3 linked regions of the Schizosaccharomyces pombe genome follow. Changing the gene in region 1 together with any one later gene gives a genetic interaction. Each region holds a gene or a part of one and is shown on either strand. Other genes may lie near its edges. The genes, in order: ade7, met26 and pma1.

What was found.
Region 2: of ade7 (region 1) and met26, changing one suppresses a phenotype caused by changing the other (phenotypic suppression), as found in Schizosaccharomyces pombe (one study listed by BioGRID).
Region 3: mutations in ade7 (region 1) and pma1 impair growth when combined (synthetic growth defect), as found in Schizosaccharomyces pombe (one study listed by BioGRID).

Annotation. Positions count from the first base shown.
Region 1 is NC_003423.3:1,153,580-1,160,486, forward strand, and holds ade7 (phosphoribosylaminoimidazolesuccinocarboxamide synthase), read left to right. Parts: upstream 1-3,239; 5' UTR 3,240-3,538; coding exon 3,539-4,438; 3' UTR 4,439-4,845; downstream 4,846-6,907. Other genes in the region: SPOM_SPBC409.08 (spermine family transporter), read left to right, coding at 1-161; mis13 (MIS12/MIND complex Mis13/Dsn1), read right to left, coding at 1,033-2,022; protein meu18, read left to right, coding at 5,015-6,676.
Region 2 is NC_003424.3:1,475,111-1,483,401, forward strand, and holds met26 (homocysteine methyltransferase Met26), read left to right. Parts: upstream 1-3,287; 5' UTR 3,288-3,516; coding exon 3,517-5,811; 3' UTR 5,812-6,062; downstream 6,063-8,291. Other genes in the region: SPOM_SPAC9.07C (GTPase Rbg1), read right to left, coding at 1-789, 838-997; SPOM_SPAC9.08C (steroid reductase), read right to left, coding at 2,104-2,952; plasma membrane thiamine/proton high affinity transmembrane transporter Thi9, read left to right, coding at 7,724-8,291. UniProt on the Schizosaccharomyces pombe protein: Catalyzes the transfer of a methyl group from 5-methyltetrahydrofolate to homocysteine resulting in methionine formation.
Region 3 is NC_003424.3:3,869,183-3,879,197, forward strand, and holds pma1 (P3-type proton ATPase Pma1), read right to left. Parts: upstream 6,930-10,015; 5' UTR 5,498-6,929; coding exon 2,738-5,497; 3' UTR 2,460-2,737; downstream 1-2,459. Other genes in the region: rpp203 (ribosomal protein P2), read left to right, coding at 1-271, 366-389; SPOM_SPAC1071.09C (putative DNAJC9 family protein), read right to left, coding at 1,478-2,245. UniProt on the Schizosaccharomyces pombe protein: The plasma membrane ATPase of plants and fungi is a hydrogen ion pump. The proton gradient it generates drives the active transport of nutrients by H(+)-symport. The resulting external acidification and/or internal alkinization may mediate growth responses.

The sequences.
Region 1 (6,907 bases):
CCGCTTTCCCTCTTTTCATTGATTATATGATGGATGGTATGACTCGTCAATGGGCCTTCTTTTTGTTGGGTATGGTTGCCGTTGCCGCTATTCCCATTCCTTTCACCTTTTACTTGTTTGGTGATAAGATTCGGGCTAGATCCAAGGCCGCTATTGTTTAAAACAGCTTGTTTTGTGTCTTTTTTTTCGTTATGCATTTGGTTTGCGTTGTGTACATGCAAGGAATTTAAAGCCTCTATTATTTCAGTTGGCTATCCCACTTTTTTAAAAGATATGCCAACAATCTTGGCTTCGTAAAGCGGTCAGAATTTGCTGCTTTGCTTTTTTCGCCTCAGGGATCATTCCATAAGTGAACTTAGATATGTTCCTTAAGCATGCTTCCACCTATCCATTGCTAAAATTTTTTAAAATTCTTTAGCTCATGTCCCCACAGTTTCAGTTTGGGTTTGGGATTTCTTGAATTTGTCTCCAATATTGGTGCACCGTTGCGTTTGAGAAGCTGCCTTAATATTTAAATAATGTCCAAGCTTCATAGAAATCGTGGTTTTTTTTTAATTTCATGTATGCGGTTTTGTGTTTGAAAGTTTTACGTTACTATTATGACGGAATTTACCACGTGTATTCTGGTTATCATAAAGCTATTGTTAATTACACGTTACATGTTTCGAAACCTGCGACGATGTCTGCTCTCGCTTTTTAAAATTTAATTATAGAATATAGACTTTAGAGATAAAGCTATTTATTTCTCAAATATTTCAAATTAATTAACTATGAAACCTTTGATAAATTCTAAATATTGGGTGAATAGTAGCAGTTATGTATCGTACATTGAGTGTAGATAGTAATGTGAGTGCGCGCTACTACTATAGGAGTTCCTTTGAAATAACGTATAACATGAATTTTCAAACACAGTCCAGCTGGTTTGCACACCTTCATTATTAGTTAATTAGCAGCAATGGCACGCAAAAAGACATAAAATTAACGTAAAAATAAGTAAAAATTTGGGCATAACAGTATCAGATTAATCCAATTTTAAACTGATTCGTTTGAGGAAGATTTATAGGAAGCTTCTGATAAAAGCCTTAATAAATTCATAGTATCCACATATTTGGAGAAGGACAACAAACTTTTACGATGGGCTATGAAATCCTGGGCAGCAAGGCGACCATATGATGATCGGACTTCAGGTCCAGCGTTAGTCAAAGAATGCAAGGTATGAATATTTTCAGCAAGCATGTCCAGGAGAGTGTGGAATTTTGGTTTCAGCTTACTTATATTAGGAAGTTCTGGTGCATCATCTGGGGGTAATGGAGAGTCCTGTTTATCAAGGTCTTGTTTAGAATCTATGGATTCTACAGCTTTTTTAAAAGATAAAATTGATTTATCTGAACTGACGGAATTAGCAGCAACAGCCCGCCATGCAGCTTCTTCATTATGGAGTTGGGTAAGCTTTGCCGACAGTTCGTCCACTAGCTGAGCATTTTTGAGATTTTGAGGATGAGGTTTATTAGGAATTACAGCATCAGGTGGTCTTTGATACCAACTAACACTAACTTTATTAGCCAATAATTCGTTAAGAACTTCTTGAACTATTGATCTAGCAATAGCTGCCTCACTGGCTTCCTCCGTTTCACCGTATTTTTTTCTTTGCTCTTCTAAGGCCTTTGAAGAAGCCCAAAGGAGAAGTTGTTTGATACGTAAAGGTTCGGATAAGTCTTTGGATATATGGCGATAGTATTCATGCGATGGAACATCTGCATGTGGTAAAGCTTCAAATCCAGTACCAATGCTACTAGCACGCTTACCCCGTTGGTCAAGACTACTCCTTCTTCCTTTACCCTTGCGAAGTTCTTTGTTTCGCTTCACAATTGGTGTATCAGACACGGGTAGCTCAACTAACCCATCGGTTTGGGAGGTATCTGGATCATCCTCCACAGATGATTTCCTTCTTTTAGAACCAGCTTTTTCTTTACCCTTCCTAACGAATACAAATCCTTCCTGCTCTTCAGGCTTTCGTTTCATAATGGATGCTGGTTAGGGTCAAGTCGAGTCAGGATTGCAAAGACTACCTTACTCATTGTTTACACTAGGTAACCTAACAAAGTATAGCGAGCGCGTTATAAGTCGGCCTTACAATTGAGCATTGAAAATTCATCAAAGCAAAGTATATTCATGTAGAGAATAAATAAAAAAATAAATAATGATTAAATTCTTTTTTACTGTTAAGTATTCCTTTCTTTTTGGAGATACACTTGTTACAACTTGGTATAAAATATTTGTTTAATTGCTAGATTATCTTCGAACTTGCAAAAACAAAAATATATATCCTTTTTTCTGCTGTAAAATAATAAGAATAATAATTTTAACATAATCCATTGAATGGTTGGTTAATTCCCCTTATAAATTCATAAGACCTCTTCTTATACTATATCAAGTTTACTGTTTATGTAATATATATATATATATATATATATAATTGAGGAATGCGACATGAAATGCTAAGCTGAAAAGTTATGCAAATTACAAAATGTGGATATTATTACCATTAAAACTGTTTACAGTTTTTGACAAATAGTCAAGATGTCCATGAGCTGCCAGGATTGAGCTTGTACTTTATCATAATTGTTGAAAAATATAGCGACGATAAATAAGATGAATAATCAAATATAAGTATAATGAAAAATATTCGAGTATTCTATATGTACAAAATCTAAATTGTAGTAATTTTCAGACTTAGCTGGTTATTGTTGATTTTAAATCGCTGCATATTATTTACAGAAAGTACCCAATTTTAGATTACATGGCTTTGCAGACAAGCCAGAACTTTAAGGATCCAGTATAGTTTTAAGAATTAAAAGTTTGAATTATCCTACTCTTAAAACACTTCCTATATAAAGTTGTTTCAAAATATTCTGCAGTCAAAAAGGCAACAGTAGTCGGTGTTTAAAGCTCTTTTTAACTTAAGTGAAGTAATAGTTTTCTTATTATAATTATTAATTTATTTGTTTTATTTATTTTAATTAAACATGGAATTTATAACCACAGCATGTCCTGTACAACTTACTTTTCGAGCACTTACTTAGGTTGCCATCATCCTCAAATACGAATTTATTTCGGAATTTTTAAATTCTTTATAATTGAAAAGAATCTTTACTGATTATCTGTTCTTAATCTGTCTCAGTGTATTGCCAAGATCTACGACGATCTGTCTCATCTCTCTTGTATCTTTCCTTTCTACTACATCGAAAGTTAGAGTTAACTGGATTCATTGAAACCAGGGTTTTTTGGAGCCAATTCTAAGTGGTATGTTATGTAATAGTATCCTTTTTGATAATTGTAATTGCTTTTGTTTCTCTGAAATTTTTAATCGATGTTCTATGTTATACTATATAGACCTCATACAGAAGAAGCATATTAAAACGAAATGAAAAGAGATCACACGGATTTTCTTTAAATACTTTGTTATTTTTATACCAAAAGCTAATTGTCTTCAAGTGGAATAGTTTAAACCTTCATTTCTACATCAAGTTCATTTCAAATGGCATTATTAAAAACTTCGTTGGATGCTCCATTCACTAAAATTGCTACCGGCAAAGTCAGAGACCTGTATGAGTGTGTAGAATTTCCCGATGATCTTTTGTTCGTAGCAACAGACAGAATAAGCGCCTATGATTTTATCATGGAGAACGGCATCCCTGAGAAGGGAAAGGTTTTGACAAAAATTTCAGAATTTTGGTTTGATGTTTTAAAACCTCATGTCCAAACTCATTTGATTACTTCTAGGTGGGAAGAATTACCTCCTGTTATCACGAAGCATGAAGAGTTAAAGGATAGATCCATGCTCGTTAAGAAATACAAGATTCTTCCTATCGAAGCTATTGTTCGTGGCTATATCACTGGAAGTGCTTGGAAGGAATATCAAAAGCAAGGGACTGTTCATGGCCTTAACGTACCTACAGGAATGAAAGAGGCAGAGGCCTTCCCTGAACCCCTTTTCACCCCCAGCACCAAAGCTGCCGAAGGCCATGATGAAAACATTCATCCTGATGAAGTCAGTAAAATTGTTGGACCTGAATTAGCCAAACAAGTTGCTGAGACTTCTGTAAAGCTTTACAAAATAGCCCGTGATGTTGCATTAAAGAAGGGAATCATCATTGCCGATACGAAATTTGAATTTGGGGTTGATGAAACCACAAATAAGATTGTGCTTGTTGATGAGGTATTGACACCCGATTCATCCCGTTTCTGGCTTGCATCTGATTATACTGTTGGAAAATCTCCCGATAGTTTCGATAAGCAATATCTTCGAAACTGGTTGACCGCTAATAACCTTGCCAATAAACCCAACGTTTCTTTGCCCGAAGATGTCGTTGAAGCTACTCGTAGAAAGTATGTTGAAGCTTATGAAATGATAACTGGAAAGAAGTGGTCTTACTAGGGGGTGATTTTGGCTTTTTGCTCTTTCTTACCATTATCTGTTTTTTTTAGTAATCTGCAGTTTCTCTTCTTTTTGGAATTCTTCTCAAATTGTAACAAACCCTTGGAAAAAAAATCGATTTCTTTTGTAAAGTAAATCGACTTTAAATGCTATTGCGTCTTTTAGTAAATCATTTTTCATTTTTTGAACCTGTTAACGGTGTTTTGGCGATTTTATTAAAGAAGTAGAATCTAAGTTTTACTTATAAAAATTCAAGTGTTGGTATCAAAATGATAGGTATCGGTCGTTGTTTATTAGAAAAGGCTTAGTGTTGATTTTTATCAACTTGATTGAATAAGAATTCTGCAAGTCTAGCGTATTCATATATGAGATGATTATTGAGGAAACATGCTACATTTTGTAATAATTATTGAATACCTTTCAAAAAATCCAATCATTTATTGCAAATGTTTATTTTTATTCTCAATTCTTCCTTTTCTTTGAAAATAAACAAACAGTCAAAACAAACAAACTTGCGACTATATATACCATTACGCTCTTCCCCACAATCGATCACTAAATTTTTAAGAAATCAAGATGATTTACATAAACTTTTATGAATTATATAATATAAAGAATATCCGGCCACTTATACCAAGCTTTCATGTTTGTCTTCTAATTATGTTCTTGATTTTATATAGCCAAGAAATACTTAGTTTTTTCTTTATGTGTTCTAAGTTTTCGATGAATTCTCTAAAATTCTGTGTGCTATTCTCTTTCAAAACAGTTTACAGTCTGCTCAAGTTAATAAAGACGCTAATTAGAAAGCTGCTTTACTGTTTTCATTATGCGTTGGATTTATTTGCAGATGAATACAAAGTTACAGCCAACGATAAACACTATGATTATAGGCTAAAATCCCATCGTATAAAAGATAAAATAACCACAAAATGCAAAGGTACGACCAAGTATTTTAATTCACGCCATTTCGAGATTAAGAATGCTGTTGAAAACCTTCCATCATTCAGCAGCAATCTAACTACTATTGGAAACAACCTAAGAATTTTTTGGAAAAATGGAAAAATCCGTTGCATCAAATTGACATGCACACCGGACGCAGAAATAGTAAATTTTACATCAAATCCAAATCGTTATAGGTTTTATGAAACGAATATGCAAGAACTCATTAGAAAAACAATATGCGAAAAATCCGATAAAGCGATAGAAAAAACGTTTTTATGCGCTCAACTCTTCAAAACATTTTGCGAGGATGGCGTACTGCAAACCTTTCAGCCTGGATTTATTCAACTAGACATCGCATCAAATTTACAAGAAATAAAGAAAGGCACTAAAGAATATAGCCTTAAAAGTCTCGAAATGACCACCACAAAAGAAAGCAATGAGACATTATGTTCCAATGACTCCAAACATAGAATCGCACGTTTAAAAAATGAAGATAATACCCAGAAACCTATTAGCAAAAAGAGGAAGTCTAAAAAAGCTTCCCATAAATATCTTAGCTCAAGAACTGCTCCCAATGTTGACTTTGGCAATTTCGCAAAGGAAAGGCACAGAGAAAATGATGTTTCAGAGCTTTACTCCAAGACTAAAAGGACTTCAAAAATTAGGGAACTATACAAAGAAATTGGTTATGACAAGAATGAGTTTATTCATGAATTGCGCGAAAATGAGGGTCCATCCGTTCTCTACGATTCTGGATTAGATCAAAATGGCACGAATTATGATGACGCTTTTGCTGCCCCGGAAGCCATAAGCATTGAAAAGTATGTTAGCATAAACGAAGAAGATCCCAAAAGTCCTAAAAAGGAAACAAGTTACCAAGTACAGGAAAAACTTTCACAATTTTTTCAAGAAGAGATGATTCATCTGCTAGAAATGGGTGAAGCCTGCACATCTCGAGAGTCGCAAAAAACAAGGAAAAAGAACTTAAAGGAGAACATTAGAAAGCAACGAACTACGAGTACTGCTATTAGGGACATTGCCATAAAATTTCTCGATGACGCCAAATGCGAAACAGAAGACTCAACAAATTTGACGAATAGAGAAGGTGAAGCAGAAAAGACACTAAATACACAACCTTGGAAAAATCTAATTGAGAATTTTATATCGGAGCTTCAAGCCGAGGAAGAAGAAAACAATATCACAGAATGGTCAGACATAATCTCCGTCCGAAATGATGAAGAAAATCAAATTTACGAACTTCCTACTTGTCAATTGGAGACCAATTTGTTGGTATAGATTCAATTGACTAAACGACTGGAGGTTTCGTTAAAATATGCCAAGCTGGTCTGCCAATGCATGTACATCACAATGTAAATAATAATTAATGAAATGATTTTGTTTTTAAAACATTATTCGATAGTAATAATACCAAACTGTTAGTACATCGGATACAGCAACAAAATAATTTACACAAAGAAAAACATCCTAATGTATAACAAGGAGTAATGTGTACAGTAAACAGTTTAT
Region 2 (8,291 bases), on another chromosome or scaffold:
CAGTAGAATGGCCAGTACGAAGGATAACAGGTTCGCTGTAATCAGGTTCAAGACCTCTAGGGCGTGTATAGACTCTAACCAAATTCAAATAGTCCCACATCGTTTCTTTAAGTTCGTCAATGTTCCAACCCCTGTTACCACAAATGGGTACGGCGTTAGGAATACGATCAATCAAATCAAGTTCTTCAATAGAAATTGAATCAATTTTATTTAACACGTAAAGTGCCGGGATATAAACGCGATTTCCTTCCAAGACATCAATCAAATCATCAATGGTGGCATCACAACGAAAAGCAATGTCAGCAGAGTTAACACGATATTCGCTGCAAACAGCACGAATTTCGTCCAAATCAATATGAGTCAAGGGGACAGTATTGGTGATATTGATACCACCACGTTCTTTCTTTTTGAATACAATGTTGGGGGGTTCCTTATTTAATCTTATACCAAATCCTTCCAATTCCTCTTCAATAATACGCTTATGAGACATTGGTTTCAATACATCCAAAACAATAAATATAAGGTTGCAAGTACGTGCAACAGTAATAACTTGTTTACCACGACCACGACCATCTTTGGCACCCTCGATAATACCAGGCAAATCCAAAATTTGAATTTTTGCACCATTGTATTGCAAAACACCCGGAACCGTTGTTAAAGTTGTAAATTCATATGCAGCGGCTTCACTTCTCGTTCCTGTAAGCTGAGTCATGAGTGTACTTTTACCGACGGAGGGAAATCCAATGAAACCTACAGTACCAATACCGGTACGAGCAACATCGAAACCAACTAAGAAAGATTAGTACTCCAAACAAAAATTTGACGTTCAGTACATACGCCCTCCACCACCTCCTCCACCGGTAGGGGTGATCAATTCACGTTTCAATTTTGCAAGCTTGGCCTTTAACATTCCCAAGTGCTTAGCCGTAGCTTTATTTTTTTGGGTTTTGGCCATTTCATCTTCAACTTCTTTTATTTTTTGCGCCGTAGTCGCCATTTTGTTTTTTTATTATATATGAAAATGCTATGAAAATGGTGAAAAGAAAATTCTATAACTAAGTACGTATAAGATCTTTTGCATTATTGAGTGCTAAGCAACCCTCTTTATTTTATATTAGTGTATTAAACCACATTACAACAGCCAAACTATTATTAAGATACCAGGTAGAATATCACGTTGGATCTCGATATTTGTTCCTTGTTGTAAGTAAATAAAAAAATATGTGAAATATTGAATCCAGTTATTCAATAGAATTTCATAAATAAATCTTTTTTCTTTTGCGTGTCTTTTTTTATGCGTTAGATCAATATAAAATATGTATGTATATAAAAAGTTGATAATTTTGTTTTGTTTTTCTTACACAATTTTAATGCAAATATTAAATAAATAAGATTGCAAAAAAGTAGTTGCTGATTGCGCAAAAGCTTGGATTAACAGTATTTTTTGATAAATAAAAAAAGAAATAAATAAATTTAGTATGTTCTAAGTCAACGGCAAATGAATTATTATTCAGGGGTTGAAGATAATGTCAGTTAACAAGGTTAATTATCGGGTCAGGGTAATAATTAAAAATTAAATAAATAAAAAATATCTGCGGCTGTTGCGTATAAACAGTAGACGGATGAGCAATTATCCCCAATAGCCTAAATACAAAATATAAGAACACATAGTAGAAACTACAAAAACATTTTTACCGGCAACAATAACCTCGTTGATATAGTGGTATTGTTGATAACTCAAAAAGCCCCAGCGTTTTGTGCGCGAAAATTATATTAATATTAACGAAAGCGAATATGCTGAATATGTATAAATCTGCAGAAGATACATATGTATCATTAATTTTTCTATGTACAATATTGTAAGCAACATAACTGATCGGAACAGGAAAAGTAGATGAGAAGAGGGAAACGGTTAGGATAGCGTGAAATTCAAGATCAATGCGAAAGAAATAAATTATAAGGGTTAAATAAGGCATAAATTAAGGAAGTCATCGAAACAAAACCTAAGAAAAAAACACAAGACAGCAGGGGAAAACAGTCATAGAGACCTAAGGGCCTCCAAGAACACCAACTTATTACGAAAGGTAAAACGAGGCAGTTGTTCTACATTAAGAATGGGATGATGGCACGACGGTTTGCTGGATACTTCGGAAACTTTTTACAGTACCATTGATGGGCTTTTAATGCTCTTGGAAGCATCAACAGAATCTCTGACAGGAAGAACCACCAAAAAGGTTCGGCAGAAGGACCGGCTGCCAAGTAGCATCCAAACCATTCAATCCATTCGCAAAAGTAATTGGGACACGAAACATACTGGAAAAGCCCTCCATAGGGAATTCGATAATACGAATTCTCAGATTGTACGGTGTCAAGATTATCGGGATCCTTTTTTTTATTAGATGATCTTCTTAGGTCGTATAAGATGTTGTCGTGATACATATTTCCCAACCAACCCATTAACCAAAGAAACATACCAATGTATCGACGAATGATAGACACTGGATGATGCTGGACGCTAGCTTGAACCAAGTACAGACCTATTGACATACCGTTCAAAAAGTTAAACAATACCGCAGAAACAAACACCGTCCAATGCATGGGTGAAACTTGTGGTGCCATCAAAAGAGGACTCACTAGCGCTCGGTTGGCGTAATGAACTAAAAACATACCAGCAAGTACCTTTCGACAGCTATCCAGATAATCTCGGTTCGACCCATCTCCAAGAGAGGGCAGCGTCGACTCGAAGTGTCGATTGTTACGAATTGCATAAAGGAACGTCAGTGGTGCTACCAGCTCCATCAATACCCATCCCACTCTACCCGATATGTATCCTTTGCTGAATAATTTGCTTTGCTTGGCTAATTTGCCATGCGGCGCATTTACAAACAGAGTGCATGGGAACACTCCGACAACGAATATTTTCAACAGTTTCAGGTAGTCTGAATAAAACATGTTGAAAAAAAAAAAAAAGCGATTTCTTTACCTAGAAGCACACAATTCTTCTCGTCAACTTGAGGCAGACTTACAATAATTTTCCAAATTCTTTCTAAATTGGAAACGAAAAATTGCACAATTTCAAGGTGCAGAAGTCGCTAAAAATTTGATAAAATCTTATAACAAAATCTACTCACTTTATCACGAGATCTCTCAGCGATATTATGCTCCAATTAACGTACCTATCGGGAAATAAAAGTGACTGGTTTTTTCGTTATGTTGGGATGGGGAGGTGGTGTGAAAATTTCTGAGTATATATAGTAAAGGCCCCCAAGACAGTTAGTCTTTTCTTCATAACACAACGCCTCTGTGGTAAAAGAAATCTCTTCGTTCCCTCAGGAAGAAATTTGTTTTCCCACTAAATCTATTTGTATATTTATATATATTCATATACAAACATTTCACATTACTGTACTGTATTCCCTAAGCATACAGAATAATATTGTACTTTTGAACTTTTCAAACGTACATTAGATTATATCCAACCGTCCTAATTTGCATATTCCGACAAACTATTTGAAAATGGTTAAATCTGCTGTTTTGGGGTTCCCTCGTATCGGTAAGAACCGTGAGTTGAAGAAGGCCACCGAGGCTTACTGGTCTGGAAAGACCAGCGCCGAGGAATTGCTTGCTACTGCCAAGCAATTGCGTTTGGAGCACTGGAAGCTTCAAAAGGCCCAAGGTGTTGACATTATCCCTTCCAATGATTTCTCATTGTATGATCAAATCATGGATCACTCTTTCTCTTTCAATGTTATCCCCCCCAGATACCGCCTCTCCGGTTTGTCTTCTTTGGATACTTACTTTGCCATGGGCCGTGGTATGCAACGTGCTGCTACTGCCGATAAGGCTGCCGTTGATGTCCCCGCCGGTGAGATGGTCAAGTGGTTTGACAGCAACTACCATTTCTTGCGTCCCGAGGTTTCTGAGGAGACTGACTTCAAGTTGAGCTCTACTAAGGCTCTCGACGAGTTCCTTGAGGCTAAGGAAGCTGGTATCATCACTCGCCCTGTTCTTGTTGGTCCCGTTACCTACTTGTTCATTGCTAAGGCCGCCAAGGGTTCTAGCATTAAGCCTATTGAACTCTTGCCCAAGCTTTTACCCGTTTATGTTGAGCTTATCAAGAAGCTTACTGAGGCTGGTGCAGAGTACATCCAAATTGATGAGCCTATCCTTACTCTTGACTTGCCCCAAGAGATCCTTGCTAGCTACAAGGAAGCTTATGAGACTCTTGGTAAGATCGGTAAGCTCATTTTGACCACCTACTTCGGCTCTCTTCAAAGCAATGCCGATGTTTTGAAGGGTCTCCCTATTGCTGGTGTCCACGTTGATGTCGTTCGTGCTCCTGAGAACTTGGACCGTGCTCTTGCCGTTCTCGGTGAGAACCAAATCATCTCTGTTGGTGTCGTTTCCGGAAGAAACATCTGGAAGACTGATTTCCAAAAGGCCACTGCCATCATTGAGAAGGCTATTAGCGCTGTCGGCAGTGAGCGTGTGCAAGTTGCTTCTTCCTCCAGCATTCTTCACATTCCTCACTCCCTTTCTGGCGAAGACCAAATTAATCCTGAAATTAAGCGTTGGTTCGCCTTTGCTGTTGAAAAGTGTGCTGAATTAGCTATTCTTACTAAGGCTGCTAATGACGGCCCTGCCTCCGTTCGTGCTGAACTCGAGGCCAACGCTGCTGACTGCAAAGCTCGTGCTGAGTCTCCCATCACCAATGTTGAGGCCGTTCGTGAACGTCAAAGCAAGGTTACTCCCCAAATGCATGAACGTAAGAGTCCCTTTGAGACCCGTTATGCCAAGCAACAAGCTTCCCTTAAGCTTCCTCTTTTCCCTACCACCACTATTGGCTCTTTTCCTCAAACCAAGGAAATTCGTGTAACCAGAAACAGATTCGCTAAGGGTCTCATTTCTCAAGAGGAATATGATGCCTTCATCCGTAAGGAGATTTCTGATGTTGTCAAATTCCAAGAGGAAGTTGGTCTTGACGTTCTGGTTCACGGTGAACCCGAGCGTAACGATATGGTTCAATACTTTGGTGAAAGAATGGAGGGCTTTGTCTTTACTGTCAACGGTTGGGTCCAATCTTATGGTTCCCGTTGTGTCCGTCCTCCTATCATTGTCGGTGATGTTTATCGTCCCGCCCCTATGACCGTTAAGGAGTCTCAATATGCTCAATCCATTACTTCTAAGCCTATGAAGGGTATGTTGACTGCTCCCATCACTATTCTTAGATGGTCTTTCCCTCGTGACGATGTTCATGACTCTGTCCAAGCTCAACAAATTGCTCTTGGTCTCAGAGATGAGGTCCTTGATCTTGAAAAGGCTGGTATTAAAGTCATTCAATGTGATGAGCCTGCCTTACGTGAAGGTCTTCCTCTTCGTCGTGCCGAGTGGGATGAGTATCTCAAATGGGCTATCGATGCTTTCCGTTTGGCTACTGCTGCTGTTCAAGATGACACTCAAATTCACTCCCATTTCTGTTATTCTGACTTCAATGACATTTTCGATGCCATTCAACGTTTGGATGCTGACGTTGTTTCCATTGAGAACTCCAAGTCTGACATGAAGTTGTTGAATGTTCTTAGCCGCTATACCTCTTGCATCGGTCCCGGTCTTTTCGATATCCACTCTCCTCGTGTTCCTCCTGTTTCCGAGTTCAAGGAGCGTATTGATGCTATTGTCAAGCATGTTCCTAAGGATCATCTCTGGCTCAACCCTGACTGTGGTTTGAAGACCCGTGGATGGCCTGAGACTACTGCTGACTTGAAGAACATGATTGCCGCTGCTCGTGAAGCTCGTGAGCAATACGCTTAAGTCACTTATTTTGAAGAAAAAGGACAATTTTTTTCCTTTATTTTCCATGATAATATTTAAAAAGGGGTTGTTAACCTTCAACATGGTTAACCGGTAATGAAACGAATGTTTGAAATGAAAATGTTTCTGAGGCTGCATAGCTGTTTTCTCATCAACTGAGGGTAACAAGTTGATATATTTTGCTATGTGATGGCGTTTTTGTTAATATTAGAATCTAATGAAAATACTTATAAATGGGTTTTCAGGTATTATTCGATGAATGTTTTGTGTATAACTGAATACAGTACGTTTGAATCTTAAGTAAGGATGTAGTCGACATGTAGGCGTGCTCTTATAACAGAGGTATCAAGTTTTTGGAATTTGTTGTAAAGTAGTTAAAGTAAATACTTGAAAGAATATGGAAAAGTGGGGTGAAATTGATTTTGCTGGATTTGCACAAGTGGTGATGGTAAACGTTACGAAAGTGTGTATCAAACATGCGATATTTCTATTTTGGTAGTAAGGACTTTTAAGGAAACATTTTGTGCTTTTTCTTCAAAAAAGTGGGCACTTAAATACTGGTGCCATTTATGAATTTGAATGTGATGTTTTCTACTGACACTTAAGTTTTCCTACATTAAGAGGATAGAAAAAGGAGCTGAGATCTCAAACGCTTTAAATAGTGAGAACTTGAAAATTGATTTAGTACTAGTTTTCTTGACATCCATAATCTTTTAAAGTTAGCATAAGATCACAACATTTTGTGTTCATGTAAACGTCTTCTTTTACTTAAATGGGATATCCACAAACCCGCACATGCTAGAAATAAATTGACTAAATGTTTTACATAAAACGTGGTGCCACGTGATGACAAATGTACATTTAACACAAGGAACTAGGTTGCACTGACTCAGTCTCCCTGTATCACCAGTATCCGACATAAATTGTCGCCTACTTGCATTCCACCTAAACTTTTTATCTTTTTCCACATTGTGATGGTACTCCAAAATTGCAAATCACAGAACGGCGTACCGGTAATGGATACCTGCTGCCCTATATGAAACCAAAGCTGCCCTTGTAGAATTCGAGATAGCTTACGCTGTTGCAGATTCAGTTCAATCAAGTAAATTATTAAAAAGAGAAATAATTATTTGTATTATAAGGTTATTAATATATATTGGATTAACAGCCTATGTATTCACCTAATGTACATATACGATAGTTAAATTGTTGACTATTTTCGCTAAGCACCGAGCTTAAAATGATGCTAAAATTTCCTCATTCGCCTTAGGTTGATTTGGCATATAAAAGTATTTCTCACCCATTAAGTGCCTAAATCGAGCTAAATTTCCATCGTCCACGATAATTTGAGCTCTTCTGATTTAACAAACACCCGTTTTATGTCAGATTGCCTTTTTCTGCCACCAACGTGTGAGACACATTTTTATTCATCAACCGGGTTCAAGCACCCGGGAACACCGGTTATATAATAACAAAATTTCGAGTCTGATTTTTCTTAAAACTTTTGCAAATTACTTTTCTTTTAATTATTTGAGAAGCTTGTTAGCGATATCTCAATCTTTGCTTTTAAAAAAAAACCAGTGTTGGAACAGTACAGTATTTCGTAAAGTGGCTGTTATAATTGACCTCACTGAATTTTAAAAAAAAATCGGTTACGCATAATCTTTGACAGATTTTGTTAAAAAGACGATAAGTTTCCTTTCTCGTCCTTTTGAAGAGGTTCATTCTTTTTTTTTTTTTTTAAAAATAAAGGCACATTTATTTACTAAATACTTATCGCCTTTAAGTGGGCTCTTTTGTTATAATCCAGCAAGAAGTTCAATCTATTTATTTATAAGGTTTTTTTATGAACGATTGAAAATTTCTTTTTCTTTCTGACTTTTTCATTTGCTATTATTACAATTGCTTCGCCATGCCTTCTTCACAAATAAGCCATCAAGATCCAGAGCTTGGACAAACCTCCTCAGGCTCTTCCAGTATCAAGGAGAAAGCAGAACCTCAGCTCTATGCTGGTCCCATCGACCCTGCTAGAAGGCCCGATGTCTTTCAAGAAGGATTTGAAGATGTTTCTGTCACAGACGACGATAATGATAATGAGTTATTACGGAAAATGGGCTATCAACCTGTGCTTCATCGTTCTTTTGAATTCTTTGAGAGTTTCGCTGCCAGTTTTGCTTCCTTAGATGTCGTTAGTGGTGTTCGCTTGACCTTTAGTTGGGGTATTTCATTTGGTGGTCCTGCTGCATATTGGTCGGCTATGTTGGTAACTGGATTTTGTTCAATCGTTACTGCCGCATGCTTAGCAGAAATTTGTTCTGCTCTTCCTGCCGCAGGTTCTATCTATTTGTGGGCCGCAGAATCTGCTGGTCCAAGATTCGGTCGTTTTGTTAGTTTCTTAGTTGCTTGGTGGTCTACTACCGCTTGGACTACATTTGTCGCATCGATCACTCAATCTACTGCCAATTTCATCTTTGCTGAAG
Region 3 (10,015 bases), on another chromosome or scaffold:
TGGAAAGAACTCCCCTTCTGCCTCCGACATTGAATCAGTTTTGTCTACTGTCGGTATCGAAAGTGAGTCTGAGCGTGTTGAAGCTTTGATCAAGGAGCTTGATGGCAAGGACATCGACGAGCTCATTGCTGCTGGTAACGAGAAGCTCGCCACTGTTCCCTCTGGCGGTGCTGCTGCTGCTGCTGCTCCTGCCGCCGCTGGTGGTGCTGCCCCTGCTGCTGAAGAGGCTGCTAAGGAAGAAGCCAAGGAAGAAGAAGAATCTGACGAAGATGTATGTGAATTGTTAGAGCTACTTTTTAAACTTAGGCGTATGCCATGTTGTTTCTCATTTTGTGTAATTTGCTTTACTAACCAATCATGTGTAGATGGGATTCGGCTTGTTCGATTAAAAGAAATAAAATTTCAACTCTTTGTACTGTTCATAAAAACGACTTCTTGTACTTTAGTGTCTTGGTCTGGTATCAACGTAGTTGGGAAATGTATCGATTTATTAGATAAAGCACGTTGATTAAAATTTGGACTCCCTTTAATTGTAGATCTTCGAAGCTCGAAAGTAATGTATTTCAGTCAGCTCATTGGAAACAGTTGGTATTTTAGTATTATTTCATGGTTATAAGAAACAAAACACTGACGAGATAGATCAATTATAGTGAAATGCATTTGATTAGAGGGTATATACGTGTCAGTGATTTCAGACGAAATGGCCTTTAAAAGCATCGAAACTACAGTAGCACAATTCATAATTATTCAATTGATGATCTAATGTTAATTAGAGGGTAATTTCTATGCATCCGAACTTTTTTAACGAATTGTTTATGCTTCCTGAAGTTGTGTGTTTCATTTAACATGCTGTCGGTGAGTTATTGAATAGCAAACCATTATGGATTAGCAGCTTATCCATGTTTTTGAGAAAAGAAATCATTGATTTATCTATATACAACTTTTTTAAAAAAAATAAAACCCCCCCCCCACGGGACCAAGCGGAATCAAAATGATAAATGCCCAATTTCAATATAGAAATGAAGTTCATCGGATTTCATATTTCATTCAAATTTTGGCAGTACATCCTTTATTACATGTCAACCTTGGGACATACAGTCGTAAAGTTGCCCCATTCATTTTTTCGAGGTCAAGGAAACGCCGGCATCAAGTCATCATAAAATATGGCCTTGTTTGGAAAAAGAATGAAAATACTGATAGTCGAGCTGCCTATATGTAACATCAAATTTCCACCCTAAGAATACATGAGTAATAATTGTCGCTCTCAGTGAATGACTAATAACAATACATAGGTTTCACTATCATAGCTATGGAATAGTAGCAATGTATTTAATTCAATAGTATCAGACAATTCGTCGACCCAGAAATGCGGAATAAATTACCTCAAAAAATAAAAAATGTCATACTCGTAGCTCACGATAACTTCTAATAAAAAAATTTTTTAAACAATTAAGACATGTAACTATTTCCTAAGCAATTATTCCTTGGATCGTGATTTTTTTGATTTCTTCGGCTTGGTGGACGATTTTGAGTATTTGCTTTCCAGATTCGAAATCAGATTATACATCCTACTTTTCTGTCGCGATCGAATGAGCGCACTCAAAGCTTCTTCATCACTTGCACCAGCTTTTCTCCGCTTCTTCAAATTCTCGTCTAAACCAAGTTCCATAGACAATTCCTCCGCTTCCTGAGCTTCGCGTTCTGCAGCCTTGGCTCTCCGTTTACGTTTTTTTTCGTTGGGAGCAAATCTCTTGTACTTTGAAATTTTCCCATCCTTAATAGCATTGTTTATAACTTGCCGAAAACGGTCCTCATCAGAAATTTCACAGCACATAACTTCTTCAAGAATTACATCCATAGATCCTTTTCCTTTTTCATAAGCTTTCAAAACATCACATTTTTCCTCTTCAGAATATTGATAGGATGCTTTGAATTCGTTAAGTGTCTCACCGGAAACAACACCTTGGTATAATTCGTCAAGCCACTCTTTCCAGTCGAAATCAATATCAGCATCGGTTTCACGTAATTGTCCTGTTTTATCGTAATGTTTCCTTCTTTTTTTATCACTTAGTACACCATAAGCAATTGCAACTTTATCAAATTCAATCCTTGCTTCTACTTTCTTTTCCTCATCGTGTATTCGATCAGGATGATGCTGAAGTGCCTTCTTTCGGTAAGCTCGTCGAATTAGTTCGTCTGATGCATCTTTTTCTACACCCAAAACGCTATAAGGATCGATGTCCATTTTTATGAAACTATAGGTTAATGGAAGAAGGGAAAACTGACATTCATCTTTAATATAGCATAGATTGAGTAAACCAGCCATTCGAACGTTTTATACTAGAATATGCTTAATAAAAACGAATTTTCTAAATTTACAGAAAACGCTTAAGACATATACATACAAACGGTGAAGAAAAGAAATTGAAACAGTTTACAAAATATTACAAGACTTACCAAATTGGTACCACAAAATAAAAATATTTTTACTAAATGTATATATAAGATATATATGTATATACACTATTTAATGAAACGCAAAAAGAAGCAAAAATTCAAAAGAAACAACTTTTACTCAAATGACTATTCAATATTTTCAGACACTATAAAAATCAGTCCAAAAGACAAGCCGGCAGGAAACTCGTGTATTCAAAAATTAAGGTAAACTTTCTATGTATATTAAGGGATGAAATAAAACGTTTAATAAAAAACATTAATTATGCCGCAATGTCAACAATTAAGCATCACCCTTCTCATGGCGAGTAGAAGTACGTTGCAAAGCGACAACAAGGTCCTCAATAGAACGCTGGTTTCTAGATTCCTTGGGCTTACCGTTCATCATACGGTCGAATCCAGCAGATTCAGACAAGATATAGTAAGTTCCGGCCATGATACAGAAAATACCGAAGGAGTACATCCAGATACGGAGAACGGCAACAATAGAAGTTTGATGACCACCCTTGAACCAACCGAAGATACAGAACATAGTAGCAAGAATATCGACGGCCAACACAGCACCAGACAATTGCCAAGATGGAATAGAAGACCAGAAGGGACCGTTGCAACGAGTAACGAAAATCAACCAATTCTCAGTAAGAGAGATTTCGAGGAAAAGAACTTCATCTTGAACACCGAAGTTTTGAACGATACCACGGTTTTGACCTTGAGCAATCATAGTAGTGTTGGTAATCCAGGTACCGATAGCCAAAACAATACCAATGACGGTGGAAAGACCCCACAGACGAGGAAGGTTCCACTTGACGGGTTTCATAGAGTAAGGAGCGTTATCGTAAGCAATAGCCAAAGTAGCAACATCAGCGAAAATGGCAATGAAAACAACCAATTCCAAGTTCAACAATTGGTTACGAATGATAAGCCAGAGACCCAAGAAAATTTCCAAGTGAAGAGAAAGAGCGATACGGTAAACGACATATGAGTACATACGATGGAAAATTTGACGAGATGTTTTAAGGGCATCAATAATAGCAGAAAGACCAGGAGCCAAGAAAACAATATCAGCGGCAGAACGGGCAGCATCAGTTGCACCCTCGACAGCAATACCAGTATCAGCCTTCTTCAATGAAGGAGCGTCATTGACACCGTCACCAGTCATAGCGACCAAATAACCACGTTGTTGAAGAATATCGACGACAGCATACTTGTGTTGGGGGAACACCTCACCGAAACCATCAGCAGCTTCGACGAAGTCATAAACCTCAGAACCGGGCATGTTACCACCACCAGTAAGACCAAGACGTTCAGCATTGTAAATGTTAGTACCCATACCCAACTGACGAGCAGTTTCCTTAGCAATATCGACGGCATCACCAGTAAGCATTTTAACGCGGAGACCCAAACGCTTGGCTTCAGAAATAGTACGAGCAGTATCATGACGAGGAGGATCGGAACAAGGCATAATACCCATAATTTCCCAATGTTGACCCTCAATCTTACGAGCAACACCCAAAGAACGATAACCACGAGAAGCCAAATCACCGACCTTGTCCTTGTATGCAGATAAAACGTCTTCGGGGATAGGATGATCTTCCTCGACGGTCTTCAAAACCCAAAGGGGAGCACCCTTGACACAAGTAATACGGGTTCCATCAGGAGCTTGAACGTAGGCAGTAACCTTCTTGGAAACGGGATCGAAAGGTTGGAATTCAATAACTTTGTACTTGGTAAGCATAGATCTGGGACCAGGGTAGTTCTTCAAAGCCTTCAAGAAAGCCTTATCAATGGCATCCAAACCCTTACGCTTACGGGAAGCAGCCAAACAAGCAGTCAAAACCAAGTCATCACCGGAAACACCAGAGACAGTGAAGGGCTCACCAAGAGACAACTTGTTCTTGGTAAGGGTACCAGTCTTGTCAGAGCAAAGAACTTCGACACCAGCAAGGGATTCAATAGCAGAAAGTTTTTGGACAATAGCTTGCTTCTCAGCCAAGTAAGCAGCACCGACAGCCATAGTGGTGGTAACGACAGCGGGCAAACCGACAGGGACACCAATAATGGTAATAGCAAGAGTGTATTCCAAAAGACGAGCAAGACGAACGGAACGATAGAAGGCAGCAGTGTAGATACAGAACAAAGTGAGCAAGACAAGAACCAAAAGAATGGTACCAATACCGTTAAGAACTTCGGTAAAGTGACCAGTACCACCAGCAGCGGCATTAACCAAAGAAGCAGCACGACCGACGAAAGTAGAGTCACCAGTAGCAGTAACAACCATTAAACCTTCACCACGCTTAACACCAGAAGAAGCGAAAGTGGGGTCACCATAGTGCTTGTCAACAGCAAGAGATTCACCAGTAATAGCAGATTGATCGACTTGAAGATGGACATCGGGAGTAACAACACGGCCATCAGCACAAATAATGGTACCTTCATCCAATTTGAGGATATCACCAGGAACGACTTCATTAGCCTCAAGTTCGTGAACTTGACCTTCACGGATGACAACAGCCTTAAGAGCAAGAGATTTTTTCAACTCGTCGACAATAGAACCAGCTTGGTATTCCTGAACGAAACCGACAACAGCGTTAAGCATAAGAAGAGCGCAAATGACACCAAAATCGACCCAATCACGAAGACCGGCAGCTAAAGCGGCAGCCATTTCCATAACGAATTGAATAGGACCAACGAAAAACATGATAAATTTGAGGAAGGGGTTTTCGAGTTCTTCCTTCATTTGATTGAGACCGTACTTCTTACGGCGCTCTTCTACTTCAGACATGGTTAAACCAGTGTTCATGTCAGTTTGAAGAAGCTCTTCGGGGACAGCCTTAGCCTCACCGGCAGCGGGGGCATCATCATTGTCCTCTTGTTCTTCTTGAACATCTTCAGAGAAAAGTTCCTCAATCAAAGCGTCAATGTCATCATCAGGCTCATCGTCTTGAGCGGGAGCAGCTGCATGAGCGGGTTGTTGAGGAGGGGGAGCTTGTTGCTCGGGAGCATGCTTTTCAGCGTCATGGTATTCACCAGCGTTATCAGCCATAGTTAACGAAAGTAATGAGAAAGATAGATAACGAAAAAACTAAAGAAAAACAAGTGTAAATGTATTCAAAAGAATAAACGAGATGGGGTAGGTATTACCGACAATAGAAAAGGGGTATTGAGGGGAATACTGATATAAAAATCTAAAATGAAACAAAAAAGCCCGAATTGATAGCAATAAAAGACGTCTAGAAGGAATGGATCGTAGACGAATTAAATTATACTGAGACGAGGCCGAAGAAAAACAAAAGAAATTTAAAAAGGATCTTCTAAATATAAAGTCTTTAAAAGGCTCAGAAAATAAATTATCACTTTCGAGATTAAATAACGTATGTTCTAGAGAAGAAATACGCTTTGAAATTATGTCGAGAAGCGAAAGTCTGGGTCAAAGAAAGAGAATATGTGCGAGAAACGGGTGAGAAAAATAGTTTATCAAATGAAAAGATAAGAAACTATTTAATGTAATCTGCACAAGAGGGAGAGAAAACAAAAAAGAACAAGTAAACGCACACACAAAAATGAAAGTAGCTTTGATCTATTAAAATTCAAACGAGAAGCATGTAATCAAACACGAAGCCCTAGTTTGGAGTGATAAAAAACGACTATCGTTTGACAATTTCAGGACAAAGCTGAAAATGTGTGGAAATTATAAGAGAAAAAGAATAAAATATATCAATCAGAGTTTGTGGATGACCGATAAGGAAAGGGAAGATCTCACAAACACGACGAGTTTAATAAAAAATCGTGGTTGGATATAAAAAGGGAATGGAGATGAAAGGGAAGATGTTTTTTGGAAAAACACAACAAAGACTCCGAAAACTTATAAAATTGACAATAAGGTTGGAGGGATTAGATAATTTTTTCTTTTCGTTACAAACCAAAAAAGGTAGGAAGCAAGGAAAGAAAAAGAATCAATCGAAGGGGAATTGTTGAATTGAAATTTGACAATAACAACCACAACAGGTAAGAAAAAGGTGGGAGGAAGGGATGACAGACAAATGAAAAGATTTGTTTGTTGAGTTGGGAAAAAGTATATGTATGTCTATATATATATGAGATAAAAAGAATCTATATATATATAAAGGTAAAATTATTGATGGTGACTAGATCTTTCGAAAAGGACGGAAGAGAACAAGTAACCAAAAATAACGAGGTAAAAGGGGTAAATAAATTTTCCTGGATCAAACAAGCAAAGCAAATATGATCTATCAATCTACCGTACCGGGAGAAAAAGTATCTTCTTTATCGACAAAGGATGAAAGAAAGATAGGTTATTTTTTTTTCTTATGTTGAAGGTAAGAACAAAAGAGATATGTATGTAAACTATACTAAGCGAACAACACACAGTCTTCTATGTTTTCGAGTTCTTTGATCGAACAGTAGCTAACGAGAAGCACACTGAACTTTGTTAGGAATTCCAAAAACGCGGGCTTGAAAGGAACTTGCAAGCGGTGGGAAGCCGAGCCTACTTATACAAAAAATTTGGGCTGGGAGAAAAAAAAGGAAAGAAGGCAAAACGAGACGTTCGGAACGAAGAGGAAACGGAGGTCGGCAGTGTTGTGATTCGATCGCTAAGAATGGAAGACCCGTCTAGAATCCTGTGATAGGGAGTCATAAAGAAGCATGATTGGTCAATAGACAAGTCACGACGACGATAGCCGATAACCAAGAGACGTCGTATGATGTCATTTGTTCGGGAGATGGAAAGGGCCAGGCACGTCGTACGAAATCAAGGATGGACCGGCAAGAGACGAATGAGAGAGAGAGAGAGGAAGAGGAGGGCGACGGGATGATGATGACGGAGAGGGATGGGGAAAGGAAGAAGAGGGTAGTAGAGGAGGAATAATGTTAAAGAGGAAAAAGAAGAAGAGAGTGAGGTCGAAAATAATTCAAAAAAGGGAGAATATAAGAGAAAAGAGGTTGCAGTAGGGAGAGGAGTATAATGGTAGAGAGGAAAGGAAGAGAAGGAAAGAGGAAAGGAATAGGTAAAGAAAGACATTGCGATGGATATATATTATAGAGTTTTGTATTAATGGAATGATTGTTTTATGTATTTCATTTAGTGAAGTTGAGAAATTGGTTCATTTATTCATTTATTTTCTAAGCAATTAACATTTACACATCCATCTAACATCTTCTAAACTAAGATTCACTCTTTAAAATTCACTTTCTAACACTCATTTCCAACACTCATTCTAACTCCTTTCTCCTTTTGTTTACCTCTTTATCCATCTCCCTGTCTGTTCCTGTCTGCTCTCCTCTCTCTCCTCTCTCCTCTCTCCTCTCTTCTCTCTTCTCTCTACTATCCTCTCCTCGCTAATCCTATACCTTGACTAACCTTTACACTTGCGTCCTCTTCACTGTCCTCCCTTTACAGTGCGTCGCTGCGGTGCAGTAAACGGAACTTCGTCCAGCCTGCTCGGAAGGGTTGGTTCGGAACATCTGGAACGATGGTAGAGGCAGGTGAGTGTTGACTGACGGATGGCCTGGCTAGTAACAAGGTGGTAGGTAAAAACGAGTAGCAGTGTAAAAATAGGAGACACAAACGACATGAAAAAACAAGAAACAAGGGAACCGAAGACACAGAAGCAGACAAGGACACATAGGATGGATGGATAGGTGGATGGGATGGGATGGGTCGGTCGGTCAGGTGGGTGGGTGGATGGAAGCGAACAAACAAGGCAAGCAAAATAGGGGAAATGAAAAAAAAAAATGTAATAAAATGAATATTTAGTTAAGAAGGAAGGAAATTTTCACAGAGACATCTTCACAACAACGCACAAAAGAAAGCCGAGCATATGTGAGGAATGTTAGTGACAGTGAGCGTGAGTTTGAGCGGGCCGTATAAAATTTGAATAGGAGTTGTAAACAAGGAAGCCGACGAAAGAAAAAAGAGAGGCCGCACGAAAAGAAAAGAAAATATTAAAATTTAAAAAAAAAAAACGAACGCTCCGGTAGATGAAGAGGGAGCCGAAGTAAGGTGAGTGAGTGTAAGAAAGAAATGAATAAAAGTGAATAAAAGAAATGATTAAAAGCGAATAAAATTGAATAAAAGAAACGAATAAAATATATTCAAATTAATTAAAAAATTAATAGAAAATATATTGAATATGATGAAGGAACCGAGTAAAAATAAAAGGAAATATTCGTAAATAGTATATTTTTTATGCTACCCAACCGAACATAGAAGTGAAAAAAGAAATACACAAAAAAAATAAAAAAACAATCAATTCAGGGTAAATGAGAAGAATAAAACGAAAACTGAAAAAAATAAAAGAAGAAAAAAATAAAGTAAAATAAAATAAAATAAAATAAAAACGAATATTAAAAAAATCATAAATTTCATTCATAATGAAATTTATTTTAATATTTTACAAATACTACAATCAAAACCACAATAAATGTTAATACCCATGTTTCAACAGTTCACAATTCTCTTATTATTCAATACGATTTTCATCATTTCAAATTATTTCTATAAATTCAATTTAATATTTTATAAATTTTCATTCGATTTCTTTTATTTACATGCATTTCCTCTATTCCCTTTTTCTCTCTCTTTCCTCTCCTTTCTTTATGGCTCTCCACCACTCGGTTCGTTAGCACCTTTTTTTTTCTTAAGCACATTAAAAAAAAAAAAAAATAGGTTTCTTGTAAATGTCACCTTTCGTCATCCATGCATCAACTTCAATTTTTGCTTACATTCATAGATTCCTCGGTTGTTGTTGTAAACAAAGAACCGATCCATTTCTTTTTCAAACATACTTTGCTCTTTACCTACAACCCAGCACCCTTGTTTTCTCTCCTTGTGCATCGCGCATTGCCGTGGCCCTTGCAAACCACTGTGATTCATTCGGGTAGGCAAAAACACTACCGAAATTCATCCATCCATCCAACTTTAGCAGCTGCACCCAATCCCTGCTCTCAACCCACATAACTATGAATGCAACATGTTATTTCAGAAACCATTTCTCACCAATTTATTTTATTTTATTTTATTTATTTTTTTTCATTTTCATCCTGCATTGATAATTCCTTTTTCACATTCCATCTTTTCATCTCTCATTCCTCTTTCTAAACAAGGAAAGGCATCGAAATAGACGATCTCTATCGGCAGTTAAAGTTGACAGATACTTGGTTTGCTCAATCCTTTTTTTTCCACCACCATAATCAACCATGCACAAGATTACTTTTGTCTGCAAATCTTATTACGTATTTTAAAAGCAAGCAAGGTTTTGAATGAATGGTACACATTGTTTCTCATAGCAACAACATCCCGCAATCACAGCCAGCCATACCATACCATACTATACTATACATTCTTTACTTCCAATAATATCGTTATTACAAACATGCGCAAAATTCCACTCTACATTTTCTTTCCAATCTACTTAATTGCCAATTAATTATATGCTTCTCATCCTTATTATTAAAGCACTTTTCTAGCTGCCCTCTTTCTTATCCTCTATTTTTCACCCTCTCTACTTACTCTCGCTCTCTATCTTTTTTCCACACTCCA